3 linked regions of the Oryctolagus cuniculus genome follow. The main gene of each other region encodes a partner of the protein of the gene in region 2 in a complex. Links are inferred from orthologs where the notes say so. Each region holds a gene or a part of one and is shown on either strand. Other genes may lie near its edges.

Region 1 (5,774 bases), about 13 Mb from region 2:
TTCCGGTCTAGCTTTTCAAGCCACCTTGCAAGGCACCTCTCTGTGGTCTGCATGCCAAGGCCCACCTGATCTGGAACCTGCTGGAAACCAATCCAGCATGGGTGGGTGGTGTAACAGTCACAAACGACTCTGACCATTGTGGGCTTCAACAAGCACTTGCTGCCCACCTACTATGCACCAGGCCCCATGCTAGACCTGGGGAGACAGAAATCCACACGGACCGAGCCTAATAGCCAAGCCCACCCTAGAACACAGGCTCTCTGAAAGCAGTGACCAGGACCATCACACAGAGACCGGCACATAGTAGGCTCACAATAAACCTTTGGGGTGCTTGCATGTTTGTTGTTTTCAGGTTCTGACTGACTAAATTCTCAAAGTTCAGGGACGGGAGCAAATCTGGAGAGGGAGGGAGGAGAGGGGCCCTTATTAAACCAGCATGTACCATAAGAATCTGCTCAGCCCTTTGAGGGCTGGGGCGGCCAGCTCAGATTCTGTTCGCATCGTTTTCAATTTCCCTCTTAACATACCACATGAAAAAGGACCACAAGTGCCCCAAATCCTTTTGTCCTTCTGGGTGACGCCACAAGGACACATGGCAAAGCTCCGCATGCAACAAGCAAGCTCCCTGGTACTCTAGAATTTTTAGTCTTCATCCCAAATTCTCAGGGAGCTATTCCGTAGAGCTAGGGGCTGGTGCTTTCAAAGCAAGTTTGTATACGACATGATTGATGGGCCGGCATATCCTATTGTCTGGAAATCCCTTTGTTTAATCATCAATGATAAATTGCCTAATGGACCACCCTGGCTGTGATGCTCCTGTGGCAAAAAGCGCCGTTTACGGTGGTCCCTGGCCTCTTGCCCCAGCCCCCGGCCCCCAACCTGTGCACATCCAGCAGCCTGCATGTGAACAGCTCAGCCCGGGACAAGCCTTTGCTGGGGACTGCTGAGGACACCCCAAAGCTCACGCTCAGTTCCAATTCTCAGGTTTCCTTCCTTCCTCATTCTTGTCCCCGCAGGAATAAAGGGCCTGAATTTAGGACGGCGGGGGGGGGGGGGGGGGCGCAAAGGTGGGGAGAGAAAGGAGCAGAGACCTCAGGCCAAGTTAAGCCAAGAGCATCGGCAATGCCCAGGCAAGGCTGAAGGAGACCGGCCACCCTGCACTTCCGCCAGGAGCCCGGGGCCTCGCCAAGATCTCCGCGCGCTGGGCTGCACTGCCTCTGGCTTGTGCTGCCCGGTGTGAGGTGTGAAGTCACCAGTAACTCAGGGAGACGCAAGCCCTCCTCCGCCCTCTCCAGCACTCTCCCCGCTTCCATTCCTCCCCTGCAGCATCCACACAGGGTAGGGACTCGGCATGCCTCTGCCGAAGCCCGTAAGCGAACGCATCCGGCAAGCTCACGGCAGGGAGGGAGGGGCAGGGATGCAGTTTTGCGAAGACTTGTAGTTCCGGAGCGTGTTATTCTGGTTAATGATGCCCACTGGTGAGAACTCTGGTTTGAGGGGTATTTCTCCCCGGCTAGCCTGGGGCTGGGCTGGAAACGGCCTGAGCTGAAGGGCAAGCCGGCTCCCGATGGACAAAAGCCCCGTCAGGCCGTGAACCCCAAAGTATTGGAAAGGCCGCCTCACCTCAGGTGTGCATAAAGGGGGCTTGTGGGCAGGGTCGCCATCTACATCAGTTTGAGGTCAAAGACTCTTTGCAAAACCAACAAAAGCTGCGGATCTTCGACCCAGAAAAACGCAGGCATCCGGCACACACTGCAAGCCCACCTGTGATTACAGGAGGGTTGGGGACCCTGGACAGTCTTTAATTAAGGCCCAGGGTCTACATTCTGACGCCTAAGGTCCTCTGACCCTAACTCCACGCCGACCTCGCTCCCGCCCCCAGAGCCTAGCACCGGCTCTGGCAGCTGCTGCCCGCCCTGGTGGCAAAGGAGCCAAGGGCATCCTGCACCCCGCGCGGCTCCCCCGGGTGCTCGCTTAGCCCCTCCACAGGGCGCGGGAGCAGCCAACGCCTGGGGCACCGAGGGCCAAGTGGCGCAGACCAGGGAGGCGCGGGCGGCCGGCAGCGCGCGGGGGCAGGGCAGGACGGCGAGGGCAGCGCTGCGCAACTCCGCCCCGCCCCGCCCCGGCTCAGGGGCGTCGGGGGCTGGCACCCCTGCCCGGAGCGCCAGAAAAGCCCCAGCCCGGCTTCGGCCGCGCGCCAGCTCCCACCCCGGCGCCTTTCCCTTCGACCCCCGGAGGTTCGTTGACCTCTGGAGGTCTGAATCCTTCCCCCGGCTTGGCCCTGCCAGCCCTCCCGGGAGAGAGCGATCGCTCGTCCTCAGGACCCCCTACAGCCGGGCATCTTGGCGTGGCCACAGCAGGTGCGGGGCTGGGGGTGGGGAGGGGTGGGGTGGGGGTGCAGAATTAAGAGCGGGTGTGACTCAGGAGTCCGGGAGGAGGGGCTAAGAATTCAAGAAGCCTGTGCTGGAGCAGCTCGGCGCTCCGGCTCAGCAGAGAGCGCTGGGAGCCCGAGGGGAGCGCAGCGGTGAGTCAGGCTGCCCCGAGCCGAGCCCGAGAGGGGTGCAGCGCGGGCGCTGGCGGGCCGGGGCGGCGGGGCTCCCCGGGAGACTGTGCTTGGAGCCCGGTCGGGCGAGCTCTCCGGGCACCCCCGAGAGGAGTGTCCCTAGAGGGCGCGAGACCCTTGGCTGGCGGGCGGGCGGGTGGAAGGGCGCAGCGCTCCCTCTGGTCCTGGGGCACGGTCCCGGGATGGCCAGAAGTGCGAGAGGCCACCTGGCTCCTGCAGAAGCCGCACGGCCATGCCTGGGAGCAGCTCGAGGGCCGGAAGGGGACAGCGCGCAAGTGAGGGAGAGCGAATGCGCGTGGCGAGAGGGATGCGCGGGCAGCAAGCGCGCCGGGGTTGGCGAGTGGTGGCCCGCGCCGCGGAGGGCTCCGGGCGCCGGAGTGGCTAAAGTGCTTCACTGCCCGCAGGTATCAGGACGAGCGGGCCAGGGAGCGCTGGAGCTGGTGCAAGGAATAGGGCGAGGGTCTCAGGGCTTGCCCGCGCGTCGTAGAAGGCCTTGGGGGTCCGGCCTGGGGTCCTCCACGGGTTGACACTGGCAGCCTGCGCGCCAAGTGCCGGGGTTCAGCATCTGCGCTGCACATCCTCGGGAGGTCGCCAAGGCTCAGCCCTGCCCCTGGGTCACATGCCTCACCTCTAGCTGTGTGTTGCCAGGTGTGGGAGAGCTGGCAACGGCAGGCTGGGGTGGGCAGCGCCGTGGGTTCAGGCAGCGAGGCTGGAGGGGCGGGAGAGAGAGGACTCAGGGGTCAGGGAGCTACAACTTTGAGCCAACATAAACAAGCAACTTAGCTCTGCTTGCTTATGCTCTTCTCCCCCCCCCCCCCCCCCCCGATCTCTGAGAATCTCGTGGAAGGTGTTTTCTGCTTGAACTTTCTCTTCTCTCATGACTTGAGAGATTAAAAAAGAGCCTGCTTGCTAGGCTGGTTTTTCCAAGTTGTTCCAGGTTGGAAGTTGTAACAGTTTGAAGGATAATTTATGGGTGTTTTGTGCGTTAACGTGTATTACAGCAAAGCCTTTTGGGTGCTGTGGGTATTAAGGAAAACTCAGTGCACGTTCCCAGCTGGAAACCAAAATAGTGCTCTCCTGGGTGTCTCTGCCCCCTCTGGCATCTGAGGCCAGTGGAAATCCTGGAGAAAAGGCACTTGATGAATTGTCCTGGCTCCATCCGCTGGGCACACCCACTGCCCTGCCAGGCCCCTCCCCCCACCACAGGCATGGCCAGCTGCATTCTGCACATTCAGAAACGGGGATGGAGGGCCCTCCAGGGGCTGCCCTCGGGGGTCTTGAGCCTCCTGAAGCTGACGGTGAAGTCCGCCGGTTGGCCTGAACTCTTGCTCCCTGTGCAGAGGCACGCGGAGAGGCTGCCTTTGGCCGTCAGGCCTCTGCTGTTGAGGAAGTCATAGCCAAGGTGGGCACCTGGTGCCAACTCAGGATGGCAGTATTCCCAGGGGTCCAGGGAGCACTGGTGGCCCCCGGGGTGAGAGTGGTCTGGGGGCTGAGGACCAGTGCATCTGGCATGGATTCTCAGGAGCAGTGAGTGTCCCTCTTGCTGGGGAGGGGGAAGGGGAGGGGTTCGTGCCACGTGCGGCCAAACTCCTCCCTCATCTGCATCCTAACATCTGTAGGCAGGAAAGAAAAGGGACACCTGGAAGAGCAGCCAGTTAGGAGGCACCGCAGACAGGAAGGCCGGGTCGTTGGGCCTGGAAACACACGTCTGGATAGAACCGGACAAGTACCTCGGAGGACTTGATAAGCAGCCATAGGTACTGCTGCCTTCCCTGGGCAGCCGTCTTACTCCAGGCCCCCTAGCGAACTGGGCCTGCTGGGGGTGGTCACCCTAGTGGCTGTGGCTCTTTCCCTACACTTACTCCTTAGCAAGGAATGAGGCTCTCGCTTTCTGCTGCGCCTCCCACCCCAAGGACCAGTGGGAACCCGGGAGGAGGCTTCACCCTCCCATTCCCTTTCTGGGAGAAAGCTGTGCCTTGGCCAGGAAGGGGGCCCCAGCTGCCGACATCGGTAGGGAGGGTAGGGCATGGCAGGGCAGGGCTGGAGCCCGAGGGGAGTTTCTCATCATTGCTGAAATTCAAATGATGAGAAAATCACACAACGTTACTTTCTGGTGAGTGCTGGGTGCCGCTGCTGCTCACTCGAGGGTGCTCAGCCGGAACACACCGCATCGGAGCTTCAGAGGGAACCACAGACAGAGCCGGTCACTGTTCTTCTGTACCGGGCATGGAGTGGGGCCGAGGCACAGACCCCCGAGCAGACGTTCATGCCAGACTTGAGACCAGAGGCCTGGCCGTTTACTTCTCCCAGTAAGAACTTGGAGGGACTTCAGGTCCGGAGCAGGCTTTGGAGACCTTTGCTGGCAGCATGTACTCGCTCTGCTCCCAAGAGGCTGTGGAAGGTTTGCAGAGGGCATGTACTGCATGCATCTCTGGATATCTGTGAGCAAACAGGCCATGTTCCCAGAAGGTGTCTCCTTCTTTGCCTGGCACCTTGGAGCTTGCAAACCATCTGCCCTCGGGGCTGAGACGTGCTGCAGAAGCCTGCTCCGTGGCGGACCAGTTTCACAGAACAGCATATGGTGGCATCAGTCAGATAAATGAGGACAAAGGACCCTTGCCCACCCCATTCCCAAGACCCCTCACTTGCTGACAGTGGGAAGACAGTTAAGACACCGGCTGCAAACAGCAGCAAGACCAGGATGCCCTTGAGGCTGCTGAAGCAGCTGGAGAAACTGAGGCTGTGGGCCTGGCCTTTCAGTTGGGTGTGCACAAGTGTGGAAGTGTTGCTATTTGAGCCAGGAATAGACTGTTAGCCACAGAGTTTAGTCAAGACCAGAAAAATGAAAACATACGATCGCAATGAGTTTCTTGTGGTTTGGGATATTTGCCTCACTCTTCTGCAGACTCCTTTGCAGGCTTCGGAGGAGTTTCTGTAGGCTGTTGGCTTCCGCCTATGGTAGCAGTAGGAATCGGATTGAGAAGCAGGGACGATCTCTTGATGTTTTTCTCCTGTTTTTCGGGAAAACGGCCAGCGGTGGTTTTCTCAGTTGTGGCAAAGGAAGGAAAGTAGCTTTGCGACCCTGAGCAAGTGACTCAACAGCTAGGGCGTCACTTTCCCAAACTAGAAGGCAAATGCAGTGGATGAGCGCGGTTTCTCAGCAGGCCTATTAGCACGTCTCGGGTAAGTGTGACCGATCTGCACAGTGCAG
Region 2 (5,244 bases):
CATCTCCCCATCTCCCCCACCCCCCATCCCAGGCCATCTCCTACATGTGTGGCCCTGGGCAAGCCACTTAAGCCCTCTAAGCTTTTTCTGTGAAACAGGCACAATTTCTTGAAATTACTAAAATTAATGAACACAAAACCAAAGAAACAAATTTCTGGTCACCTTCTTGAAACTGCCATACATACTTGGAGACTATGAAAATACAGATTTGGGGGCCGGCGTTGTGGCGGAATGGGGTAAGCCACCGCCTGGAATGCTGGCATCCCATTTGGACACCGGTTCGCATCCTGACTGCTCCACTTCTGATCCAGCTCCCTACTAATGTGCCTGGGAAAGCAGCAGAAGATGGCCCAAGTGCCTGGGCCCCTGCACCCATGTAGGAGACCCAGAAGAGGGGAGTAAACCAGTAAATGGAAGATATCTCTCTCTCTCTCTCTCTCTCTCTCTCTCTTCTTTCTCTCCCTCTCTGTAACTCTGCCCTTCATATAAAAATAAAATAAATCTTTAGAAAAAGAAAATATAGATTTGTATTATTGTACAAAATATATACGTGCAAGCACAGAGTCGTAGCAAGAGTGAATTATAAAGTACCCAGAAAGGACCTGATGAGTGTTATTGCTGACGCTGTCACCATGGCTACCTAAGGGTCCCACTTCTGCCCCCTCTCCCAGCTCGCCGATCCTCAGGGACAGGCGCTGTGCCTTTCTCTTCTCTTCCTTCTAGGGGTCCTCCCAGGTTTGATGGCCCAGCGGGGACGTGCGGGCGGGGGAAGCGCAGAGGGCACGCAGAGCCAGGGGCCACGGCGCCAGCGGCTCCTACCGGAGGAAGCGGTTGAGGTCTCCGTGCCGCATGTACTCAAAGACCATGAGCAGCGGGCGGCCCTCGGTGCACACGCCGAAGAAGCGCACGATGTGCTGGTGCCGCAGCATGGTGAGCAGCTCGGCCTCGCGCTGGAAGTCCTGCCGCGCGCTCTCAGACGCCTCCTTCAGCGCCTGGGGGCAGGGGAGGGACTGAGCGGCCCAGCCCCTCCCCACCAAACACCCCCCCTCCCCCTCACACCCTGCCAATCCTGGGTGGGCAGACGCGGCTGCCTCGAGACCCGGGTCTCACCTTGACCGCCACCAGCGTCTTGTCCTGCTCGGGCAGCAGGTGGTGGCACTCGGCCAGGAAGACCTTCCCAAAGGCGCCCTCGCCCAGCTCCCACTTGAGCACGATGTCCCGGCGTTTAATATGATGGACACCTGGAGGGGGCTGCGGGGTCAGGCAGGGCCCAGGTTGGGGCGGCACCGGGGGAGGGTTGGAGAGGAGGCAGGGCCATCAAAGGGGTGGATGGGGACTGAAATCCAGCCTGCACTCTGTCACCAAGCCCCATGTGCTGGTGTGGGGCTGCCTCTGCCCCCGAGAGACACGGTGTGGGCCTTGGGTGGCCCCCCCGGGGGGGGGCCTGCAGATGGGAGTCAGGTTGATCTCAGCCTGGGGAAGGTCTGATGTTGCTGGGGAAGGGGTAGGGGAGGTGGGAGGCAGGGAGGGCCTGGAACAGGCAAAGACGATGGCCCAGAGGCCTCTGCTACACACATGCATATTCTCCTCTCTCTCTCTCTCTCTCTCTCTCTCTCTCTCTCTCACTCTCTGCTCCCATCCTTGACCCAGCATAGCCCCTCACAGGCATCGCTGAAGTACTGTGGGTTCTCAATGATGTGGCCTTGGAGCCCGGAGCCTTTGCCATCAGTAGGGGACAGAGAGCTGCCACCCAATGTCATGAAATGCAGGGACATGGCCAGTCCATCTTCTGGAGCCAGCACCGCAGGCCCTGGGGAAGAGACACAGCCGGGTGGAGGGGTCACAGGCCAGGTGCAGACCTGGGCCCTCACCCACCCTTGTTTGCAGGGTGATAGGACACCCCCAGCTCCTAACTGGCCTGAGACAGACAGGAGCTAGGGAGCGAGTCGGCAGGCAGGGGGAGGGGCGGCATCGCAGCCTCTCTTCTGTCTGGCTCCTGTCCAACTCCTGGCCCCATGGGCACCAAAGAACTCCCCCACTGCCACCCCCCCACCGAGCCCAGGCCTCCCAGACCCACTTAGTGCTTGAGTGCGATCCAGCCGCCAATTAGCAGCTGCTCCCGACGAAACTACGGCGGCACCAGCCCCGCCACACACACACTCACATCCACGGGCCCCACAGCCGGGCCTCGCCTCTACCCCAAACACACCCCCTGGAACACCACATGCGCAGAGACAGACAGAGGCCTGAGCCAGCAGGAGACAAAGCCCGGAGGACAGACAGACAGACAGACAGCCCTCAGCAGCCCCAACTCACGGTTGATCCCAAACTTGTTCCTCCGTCCACATTTGTTGAGGACGAGAAGCAGTGTGGAAAGGAAAAGGCAGGCAAAGACAGCCAGGCCCACAGCCACCGAGACCTGGGGGCGGGGCGGGGAGCTCCAGGGCCTGCCGCACTCCAGGGCGCACCCCTGCCCCCAGCAAACCTCTTTTCCATCCTGCATAGGAGCGCAGAGCCAAGACCACCACTCCCCGCCCCCAGCCACACACCACCTGCCTCCACCTCCCCCAGGGACACAGGCCTGGCCGTGAAGGTGGCTGGCAGAGCTCAGGCCAGACCACAGGTGACCTCCCTGCTCTGGCCAGAAGGGTTCGCGGCTGCTCCCCAGCCTCCCGACCCGGTGTCCTGGGTCAGCAGCCACCGCCGTGCTCACCCCAAAAGGCGTTTCGTCCTTTTTCTCCACCGGGTCTCCAGAGGTGCTGTTGGCATCTGTGAGGACACCGGGCAGGAAGGGGGCACCTTGGCACACGCCGTGTCCCTTCCAGCAACTCCCCACCCGGTCCCAGAGCGCCTCTCTGACCCAGCCTCAGCTCCAGGGATCACACGGCACCTGCCCTCCCCCACCCACCCCCCAGCCCCGGGACTGGGCTACTCACCCACTGGCGAGAAGGAAACTGCCGCAGGAGGACAGGAGAGAAAGCAGTCAGATGGAGGAGGACAGCAGTGAGCCCCCGGCCCCCTCCCCCCGGGACTCCGCCCTGCGTGGGGTGCGGGTGGGGCTGCTGGGCCTCAAGGGAGAAGGCGCAGGTGGTCCTTTTGCGTCTGAGCCATGGCTGCCTGGTGGCTCTCTCTGCAGCGCCCCCAAGTGGAGGGACTGGCTCAGGACCTCGGGAGCAGCTCAACACTTCTTTGGGGTACTAGCTATGGCAAGCCCTGGCTGGGGGAGGGGCAAGGAGGCCAGCATAGAGCTGGACACCAAGACTCCAGGCTCCTTTCTCTCTGGGACCAGGCACTCCAACTTCCAAGGTCAGGGTCATAGCCCTGGACACCTGGATCTCCACCCCCGATGGCGTCCAGAATGGGGTCAGGGTGACTCTTGTACCAGGGATGGGGTCCTCAGGGTTGAACTCGAAAGGGTTGTCCATGAAGGCAGCCATGATGGAGGCAGCAGCCTGGCCCGAGGGGTTGGTGGCCAGCAGCGTGTAGTTGCCATTGTTGACGTGGGTGGGCTGGTTGAGGCGCAGGCAGCCGTGCCGCATGGTCTCATTGGCCGCTGGCTCCAGGAACTCGGTGAAGATGAAGCTGGTCTCGTTGAGCACGGAGCCATTGAAGAGCCAGTGCAGGGAGGGAGCCGGCTGGCCATCCACGGAGAAGGGGATGCACCAGTGGTGCATCTCCACCGCCGTGTGCAGCTGCACGCTGGCCGGGACTGTGGGCGGAGAGCACATGGCGGGATGTGGGGGCCAGCAGGAGGGGGCCCACCACTACCTGCAGAGTCCTGGGCAGGCGGGGTGGAACCGGAAGTCAAAGGGCCCAAGGGGAAGCTGGTGGGCAGGCCCTAAGAAACTCACAAGGAGCAAGGTTTGGAAGAGGTTCACAGTAAGTGCTCAGTGACTCTGGCAGAGGAGGGGAAAATTCTGAGAGCTGAATGCCTTTGGTGGGAGCTTTAAAATGAAGAACAGCCCTAGAGAAGTGGAGTACGGGCTTACGGCAAGGAAATATGGAGTCTTTTGGATAAGATACCTAGAAAACTTTAGGGTAACCATGCTTATGAAAAAGGGGCAGGGAGCCTAGAAGCCAAACAAGCAAGGGCCGGCGCTGTGGCATAGTGGGTAAAGCTGCCACCTGCAATGCTGGCATCCTATATCAGCACTGGGTTCAAGTCTCAGCTACTCTACTTCCAACCCAGCTCCCTGCTAATGGCTTGGGAAAAGCAGAGGAAGATGGCCCAAGTCCCTGGGCCCCTGTACCCACACAGGAGATCTGAAGAAGCTCCTGGCTCCTGGCTTCAGCCTGGCCCAGCACTGGCCATTATGGTCATCTGGGAAGGGAACCAGTGGATGGAAGACCTCTCTCTCTCTCTGTAACTCTGACTTTCAAAATAAATAAGCAAATCTTTAAAATAACCAAGATATATATATATATATACATATATATATACACATATAAACACACACAGTTTGAAAACTTCTTGAAAAACGTTTGAAATAGACTCAAACTGGAAAAAGCAAAGGCCCTTCAGTAATAGAAAACAACATGAATGTGTGCATTAACGTAAGTTTACACTGGAATTCCAGCCACAATGGAATATTACTCAGCAGTGAGCCAAATGAACCATTATTCTCATTATCAGGGATGAATTTTACAAAGACAAAAGATGATGGTGTTCCCTTGCGAGTATAATGGAGCTGAGAAATTGCCTGTCACCTGGATTTGGGCTGTACTTTTCTGCATTTAGATCTGGGCATTCCCTTTGTGTCACAACTGTCTACAGTGTTCAGGACGGTCGCACGCTGTACAGCGTTCCAGCCTAGGTCTGTAGCAGGCCACACCTCCCCGGCTTGAGGAAGCATCTAGGATGTTCACACAATGGCAATCACGTAACAGTGTGTCTCTCAGAACGCGTCCCACTGAGTAAGCGGTGCTATGGAGACACAAAACAAGACAGCCCCGCTCTGCAGACTTCCCTGTCTGGGATGAGCCACAGGACCAGGGTGGTCCCGGAAGGTCTGAATGCAGTTGCAAAAGCCCTGTTGCCGAGTGACATCACAGCCACTGTCACAACGCAGTGGGGCCACACATTCCTCAGGTGTCGGTGGTGATGCCGCTGTAGACACACCTACTGCACTGCCTGCCCCGTAGAAGCCCAGCTCACAGGCTCGCCCACACCAGGTGTGGAGTGCGCTGGCCCACCCAGGCTGCTGTGAGTCCCCTCTATGACGTTCAGGTGACAACGAAATCCCC
Region 3 (5,864 bases), about 1.6 Mb from region 2:
AATACACCATCCCTACTGGCCCACTGCTCATTCCTTAAAGCCTACAGTGGGAAAGGAAGGGGTCTCAGGACAAACAGCCTTCCTCCAAGATCCACGAGCCTGGTGGCTTCTAGAAATAGGAAAACACAGAAAATGAAAGAGAAATAGGCAAGAAAGAGGGCGAGGCTAGTAATGAGGTGGCGGCTGGGAAGAGAAAAGCTCATTCAGCCAGAGAAAGAAATGCAGTTTGGAGGCCCTGAAATACAGCCCCACCACAGGCAAGCGAGAGGAAGAGCTGGCCCTGCAGCAGGCGGCCTAATGGCCACCGGAAACCCAAGAATCGCAGGAAGTAGGAAGCAGGGCACACAGGTTATTTCTTTCCCTGAACCTCCCCGAGCTCTGGCGTGGGAAGAGTAGACCTGCATTCCCAATCTGGGTCTGGGGCCCAACAGCTGGCCCACACCCCACCGTGCTCACCTGTCATGGGGGGTGACCAGCTTGGGTGGGTTCCTGAGGTATTGTTTGAAGCGTAACTCGAAGGCCTGGCCAATGGTGCTGATGACATCCTGGGCAAGCCCTTCGGGACACTCCAGGATGTGGCAGGCTGCAGGTACAGCGAAGGCTGCCGGTGAGCTCTGAGGCGGGGTCTCGGGCGGGGGTGTGGGGGACTGATCCTCCTCAGCAGAAGCCCCTCCTCATCTCTGCTCGGTGAGAGGGGAAGGGCGGCCCTGGTCCCCCTCACCTGCCGCACCGCCATCCCGCCCCACCCAGTGCGCCCCACCATGCCTCACCTCTCTGATTCACGGGGTCTTTGGCAACGTAGGCAACATACTCGGCTGTGTCCTAAGACAGACAGAGTGAGAAGGGGCAGGTTAGCTAAATTCTACAGCTCCACCTTACTCCTGATGCCTAAACCCAGTCTTTTTCAAATACCTCTGCAACCCTACCTCCCCCACTGCCCTGGCTGATGGCTTCCCAATCCTTAGCCCCTTCCCCTCCCCCCCCCCAACCTGTGCTCTGTTCCCCAACTCACCGGATCTCCGCCGGACGCAAATGAGATAGACTGCATGTGGTGGTTGGCAATGATCTGAGAATTGGCACGGGGGATGGAAAAGGAAAAGAATGGCATGTGTCAGCCCCCACCCCTGGCCCAGAACCCTGCCGTCCCAGCCTCATTCTCTTAGCTTCTCACCCTAACTTCTTCCTACCTTCTGGCTACTCCAAAGCCCTCCACCTTAGTTTTTGGCCTCACAACTACATCTGCCCCTAGCCCTACCTCCCATGTCTCTGGTACCCCCTACCTAACCCCACCAACCTGTTTACAGTCTGCGGCCATGAGGTTGAGGCTGCTGGTGGAGACGGTGAGAGTGATTGGCATTCCAGCAAATTTCAGGTTACTCCTCCCCAGGATAGAGCTGAGCGGGCGGCCACAGGGCTAGAAAAGGCCCAGAGTCTCAGAAGCCGAGGGTTCCCGACACCAGGAAACACTTCTGCCTTCCCCTTGCCCCTCCACATCACCCAGCACCATCCCAGCCCCAGCCACCCCAGGTACCTTTCTCCTCCGTGTGGCTCCCTTAGCACCCGGCACAGCCTCACACACCAGACTGATGGCCTCCCTGGGGAAAGAGGGGTGCTCAGACCCACAGGCTGCCTCCCACTCGGCTGGGGCTGCCACAGGGCTGGGGGAGGGGAGGGCCAGGCCAGACTCCCAGGGCACTCCAGGCTCTTTGTCGTGGTGGATTGAATTAAGGGCCTTTAATATTTGATGACACTGAGAGGCCGCTTCCTGGCTGATTGGGTTAGGGCCTCAATGGGTACGGCCCCACCCCCTTCCAGCCACCAAACCTCCCATTCCCTTCCCAAAGGCAGCAGCCACCACCGGTCTAACCCCACTTTCTGCCCTAGCCCCACAACTCTAAAGGCCGGAGAGGTAACAAGGATCCAGCCCAGAGGTGTCTCTTTTCAGTCACACTTGGACTCACTGTCCCAACTTTCTCTCAACCCACCTGCCCACCCACAGGTAGGCCACCTGCACCAAGGGCCCCACTCCCCATTCCCACAGCCTTACTAACCCCAGGACTCCCACAAGCCCTCCCCCTCCCCCCCACTAACCTGGTGACCTGCGTCCGGGTGTTGAAGTCGAGGGCACGCATTGACTGCAGGACCTCCACACAGCCCATGTACTGAGGGGAGGGGGACAGCAGTTCAGCCACCTCCCCCCACCCCAGCGCTAGGGCCCTAGGACTTTTCCCTCCATAGTCCCTAAGGGAAGGAAAGCTGAGGCAGCTCGCTCACTGCCCGCAGCTACATCCCACAATGTACAAGACAACGGGGAGTGAGGAGAGAGAGAGAGAGAGGACAAGCTGGGAGCGCCTCATGCACTGGGGGAGACTGGAGGGCAGTGCTGGGCACTGGGTGGGATGGGTGACACCTCCAGAAGCGGGAGGGGTCCACCGGGGGGAGTCCAGGAGTCCTCATGCCCACACTCGCCTCCGAGGTGCTGGGCATTGTGCGAAGCATGGCAGGGTGGGGGTGGGTAGGCAAAAGAAGGAGGAGGGCCCTGGCAGAGCTGGAAGAGGTCAGAGATCAGGCAGAAAGGTTAAGAAGCAGGACGCGGCGACAGAGGGGCTGCTGAGGGAGAGCAGGAGGAGTCCCACAAAGCTGCCGCGAGCAGAGGAGCTGCAGGGGTATGGGAGGGAGTGCAGGGGAGGATGTTCACTCACCCGAACCAAGTAGGAAACCCCAGGTCCCATGACTTTGTCGTTGGGATGCAGCCAGCCCCGCGTGGGCTTATTGACAAAGCTCCCGTGGCGGGTCCACTCCTCGCCCCCCAGCTGGCCCCCTTCCACCCGAGTCCTGCGCCCGCCGCCTCCACTCAGCTTGTTCATGTCCTGGAGGAGGGGCAGGGGGCCTGAGTCCGGCATGGCTGCCCCTGTGATCCCCTCCCCATCCTCGGCTGCCCTTCCTGGCTCCCCCTTGGGCCCCAGGCGGCCCCCAGCAGGGTTGGCCAGCTTCAGGTTGCTCATCCGGGGGAAGAAGGAGCACAGGGTGGTGGGACTGTCGTCCCCGGGCAGAGGGGGCAGGATTGGCCCCAGGGACGAGGCTGAAGGGGAAGGCAGCTCCTCCGGAGGGGTGGACCCTGAAGCCCCCTCTTCCAGCGACGACAGAGACTCATTCCGAAGTGGGTTGTACTTGGGCTTGGGGGGCAAGAGATCCATGGCTGGGGCGAGAGCAGGGCTGCTGCCCGGCCCGGCCCCCCTGCCAGCTGGGGCAAGGGGGCCAGGCAGGGGGCATCCCCAGGCCCCGAGCCTGCCGGGCCTCTGTGGCCCAGGAGGGGCAGGAGTCCTGGGGAGGGAGAGGGGCAAGTGGCTTCCGCTCCCCCAGCTCAGACCCAGACAGTTTCAGGCCCCATCCCCGCCCAGCGTGGAGCCTCTTCTCTGGCAGAGAAGAGAACAGGCTGGACCCAGAGCTGCCTGGCTCCTCCCCAGGGGCGGGGAGCTAAGGAGAGAGACCAATCCGGAGGACAGTGCTGACTCACAGGCTCAGAGGGGCTGAGCCCCCACTGCCGCCGCCCCAGCCCAGAACTCAGGCAGGGGCAGAGCTATCCTGCCCCTCTCCCCTACCCTAAACAAACAACTAGTGATCTGGGGGAGAAGTGGGAGTTTGGAGGAAAGGATGGAGGAGGAAGGAGAGGAGGGAGATAAGAGACGGTCTGGATCAATCCAAACCGGACATGGGCAGGAAGTCAGGGGAGGGGAGGGGGAATGAGGGAGGAAACAGAGGCAGCTGGGGGTGGAAAAGGGAGGAGATCCCAGAGCTCAGCATTTCCCTTCCTGTCCTGCTGGAACACGCAAATTCCTCCATGGTCCAGCCCAGGCCACCCCTCATCACTGCCACATCCAGTGGGGTGAGGGCCCCAGGGAGCTTAGGCCATTAGCATCCTCTTCCAGGGCAGCTGTGGAATGGAACTAGGGAAATGGGAAAAGGAAGGAAGTGGTCCCAGTGGGTGCACACTGGGACCCAGAGGAAGGGCAAAACTTGGGAAGTCAGGGAAATAAAAGCCCAACCCCAGGGGGCCACCAAGGAGCCAGCAGGCTAGAGCTGCAGCCAGAGGACGTGTGGGTCAAGCCTCCTCCTCTGCTCCTGGCACCCACCACACCAAGCAGGCAGTGGCCAGTGGCCAAGCACTGTTCTGCACGCTGGCAAGGGTGAGGACAGGGCAGTCCCTGGGCCCACCAGGTATCCTCCCAGCCCTCCTCCAGCAGTGCCCCTCACACCAGGGGAGGAGTCACCAAGCGATGGAGGTCAGGAGGCAGGCAAACATGTGGCAGTGAACCATGTGCGGAGAACAGTCCCAAACCTCCAAACCTCCGTGGCTTCCTGCCACAGCTCTGCTTGAGGAAGCCTTGGAGGAAGTTGGAAAATGACCAAAACACAAGAAGTAGATACCTCTTCCCCTAGGCTCACCTCGGAATTACCCTTAGCTCTAAGTCAGAAGATTAAAAGAAATCTATAACGATGACCAATTCTAGCACTTAAAATGTGCTAGATACGCTCTCACCTCCTCTTCGTCCTCATGGCAGGAGAATCTGTCACTCTATTTCCTAAGACCCCAGGCCGAGAGAAGGAAAGGTTTCTTCCACAGCCACACACACACACACACACACACACACCCTCATCCTTAGGGTCAGCACTCTCTGGAAGCCTGCAGTATGGGCAGGCAGAGGATGACCAACAGGTGTGAGCATTTCAAAGAAAAGAGGGAGTCTGTCTCTAAATTTGCATAGGGAGAAGTGAGAGCCTACTGGAAGTTCAGGTGATTGGGTGTTGGAGGGGGGAGCCCAGCAGGGAGGAGGCGGGAGGAGCGGGAAGGGGCAGGAAATGGCGAAAGCCTGAGGAATGTTTCCAGCAGGGAAGGCAGGACAAGTGGAGCCAGGAGGAATGCCCAGACAAGAATTTTGGCTGGGGGTGCGGGGGATGGAGCCAAACAAGTAGAGGCTGAGGAGTCCCTTAAAAGAAAAAAGAAAAAAAAACAGGATACAAATCCCTAACCCCATTGCAAACCACCGTTTTCTGGTAGTACAAAGTTCTCTCTCCTGTCACGTCCTCAAGCCACACATCAGCAAATCCACGGCCCTGTCTAGCCACAGCCTCAACCTACAGCTGTTTCTGCGGTGGGCTGGGAAACTATGAGCAAGCCTCTGTCCCGTCCTCGGGCCAAACCCCAAGCCCAGGCCCACCCTTGGGGGAGGATAAGGCTGCCTCTAATCTCACTCCTCAGAGCTCCCACCTAGTGGAGCGGGAAAGCCCTCGGGAAAACTGAGCCCAAGGCCCCAAGAGAGAAAGGACAGGAAACGTAAGCAGGTGGAGCTTCTGAGACTGAGGAAACTGGGGTGATGACTTGGGTGCCACCCGGATCGAGTTCCTTAGGGGGCGTGGCCCTCTAGGATGCGCAGCAGACTTCCAGGAGATGAGGCTCCGGGACAATCGGACGTGGATTGCGGAAGGGGCGGGGCTTCTATGGGCGGGGCCTATCGAGGGGCGTGGCCTCAGTGAATTCGAATCGTTCTTTCAAGAGCAGAGCTTTGCCCTTTTGGGAGATAGGATCTTTGACAGACAGGAGTTAGCGGAGAATCGTCGCGAGGAGGAGGCGGAGTTTGGAAGAACTGGGAGGACTAACGAAGCGTTTCTTGTGGAGCTGGAAGCATGTCTGGGGGTGGGACTTCCAGGAAAACTGGGCTACAGGGAGGGGTCGGAGACAATAAATTTAAAAACTGGGGTTCAGGGAGCCCCCTGAAGTTGGGAGGTGGGACTTCCGGAGAGGGGGTCTCAGGGGCGGGACTTAGCAGTGAAGACCGGAAGTGGGGTCCCGGGAGAGGGGTTCC

The links. The genes of interacting proteins can lie anywhere in the genome.
Region 1: the proteins of NTRK1 (region 2) and NGF are in contact, whole or in part, in a crystal structure (PDB 1WWW), measured with the Homo sapiens proteins. The link is inferred for Oryctolagus cuniculus from reciprocal best matches to the Homo sapiens genes NTRK1 and NGF. Residues at the interface, in NP_002520.2 of Homo sapiens: His291, Val294, Glu295, Met296, His297, Cys300, Pro302, Phe303, Ser304, Leu333, Glu334, His343, Gly344, Cys345, Arg347, Thr352, His353, Met379, Asp380, Pro382; in NP_001424474.1 of Homo sapiens: His125, Pro126, Ile127, Phe128, Arg130, Gly131, Glu132, Phe133, Ser134, Ser138, Ser140, Trp142, Tyr173, Phe175, Arg180.
Region 3: the proteins of NTRK1 (region 2) and SHC1 are in contact, whole or in part, in an NMR structure (PDB 1SHC), measured with the Homo sapiens proteins. The link is inferred for Oryctolagus cuniculus from reciprocal best matches to the Homo sapiens genes NTRK1 and SHC1. Residues at the interface, in NP_002520.2 of Homo sapiens: His489, Ile490, Ile491, Glu492, Asn493, Pro494, Gln495, Tyr496, Phe497; in NP_892113.4 of Homo sapiens: Met176, Arg177, Ala178, Leu179, Ser259, Ile260, Ser261, Phe262, Ala263, Ser264, Gly265, Gly266, Lys279, Asn283, Arg285, Ile301, Ile304, Gly305, Phe308, Glu309, Phe312, Lys313, Gln314, Tyr315.

Annotation. Positions count from the first base shown.
Region 1 is NC_091438.1:55,014,906-55,020,679, forward strand, and holds the start of NGF (beta-nerve growth factor), read left to right. Parts: upstream 1-2,341; 5' UTR 2,342-2,360; intron 2,361-2,436; exon of another isoform or gene 2,437-2,524; intron 2,525-5,774. UniProt on the Homo sapiens protein: Nerve growth factor is important for the development and maintenance of the sympathetic and sensory nervous systems.
Region 2 is NC_091438.1:41,936,029-41,941,272, forward strand, and holds part of NTRK1 (high affinity nerve growth factor receptor), read right to left. Parts: intron 3,710-5,244; coding exon 3,383-3,709; intron 2,955-3,382; coding exon 2,937-2,954; intron 2,770-2,936; coding exon 2,714-2,769; intron 2,420-2,713; coding exon 2,317-2,419; intron 1,811-2,316; coding exon 1,664-1,810; intron 1,242-1,663; coding exon 1,111-1,241; intron 993-1,110; coding exon 820-992; intron 1-819. UniProt on the Homo sapiens protein: Receptor tyrosine kinase involved in the development and the maturation of the central and peripheral nervous systems through regulation of proliferation, differentiation and survival of sympathetic and nervous neurons.
Region 3 is NC_091438.1:43,537,959-43,543,822, reverse strand, and holds the start of SHC1 (SHC-transforming protein 1), read right to left. Parts: upstream 3,434-5,864; 5' UTR 3,198-3,433; coding exon 2,703-3,197; intron 2,163-2,702; coding exon 2,092-2,162; intron 1,596-2,091; coding exon 1,532-1,595; intron 1,415-1,531; coding exon 1,295-1,414; intron 1,067-1,294; coding exon 1,013-1,066; intron 823-1,012; coding exon 771-822; intron 584-770; coding exon 457-583; intron 1-456. UniProt on the Homo sapiens protein: Signaling adapter that couples activated growth factor receptors to signaling pathways. Participates in a signaling cascade initiated by activated KIT and KITLG/SCF.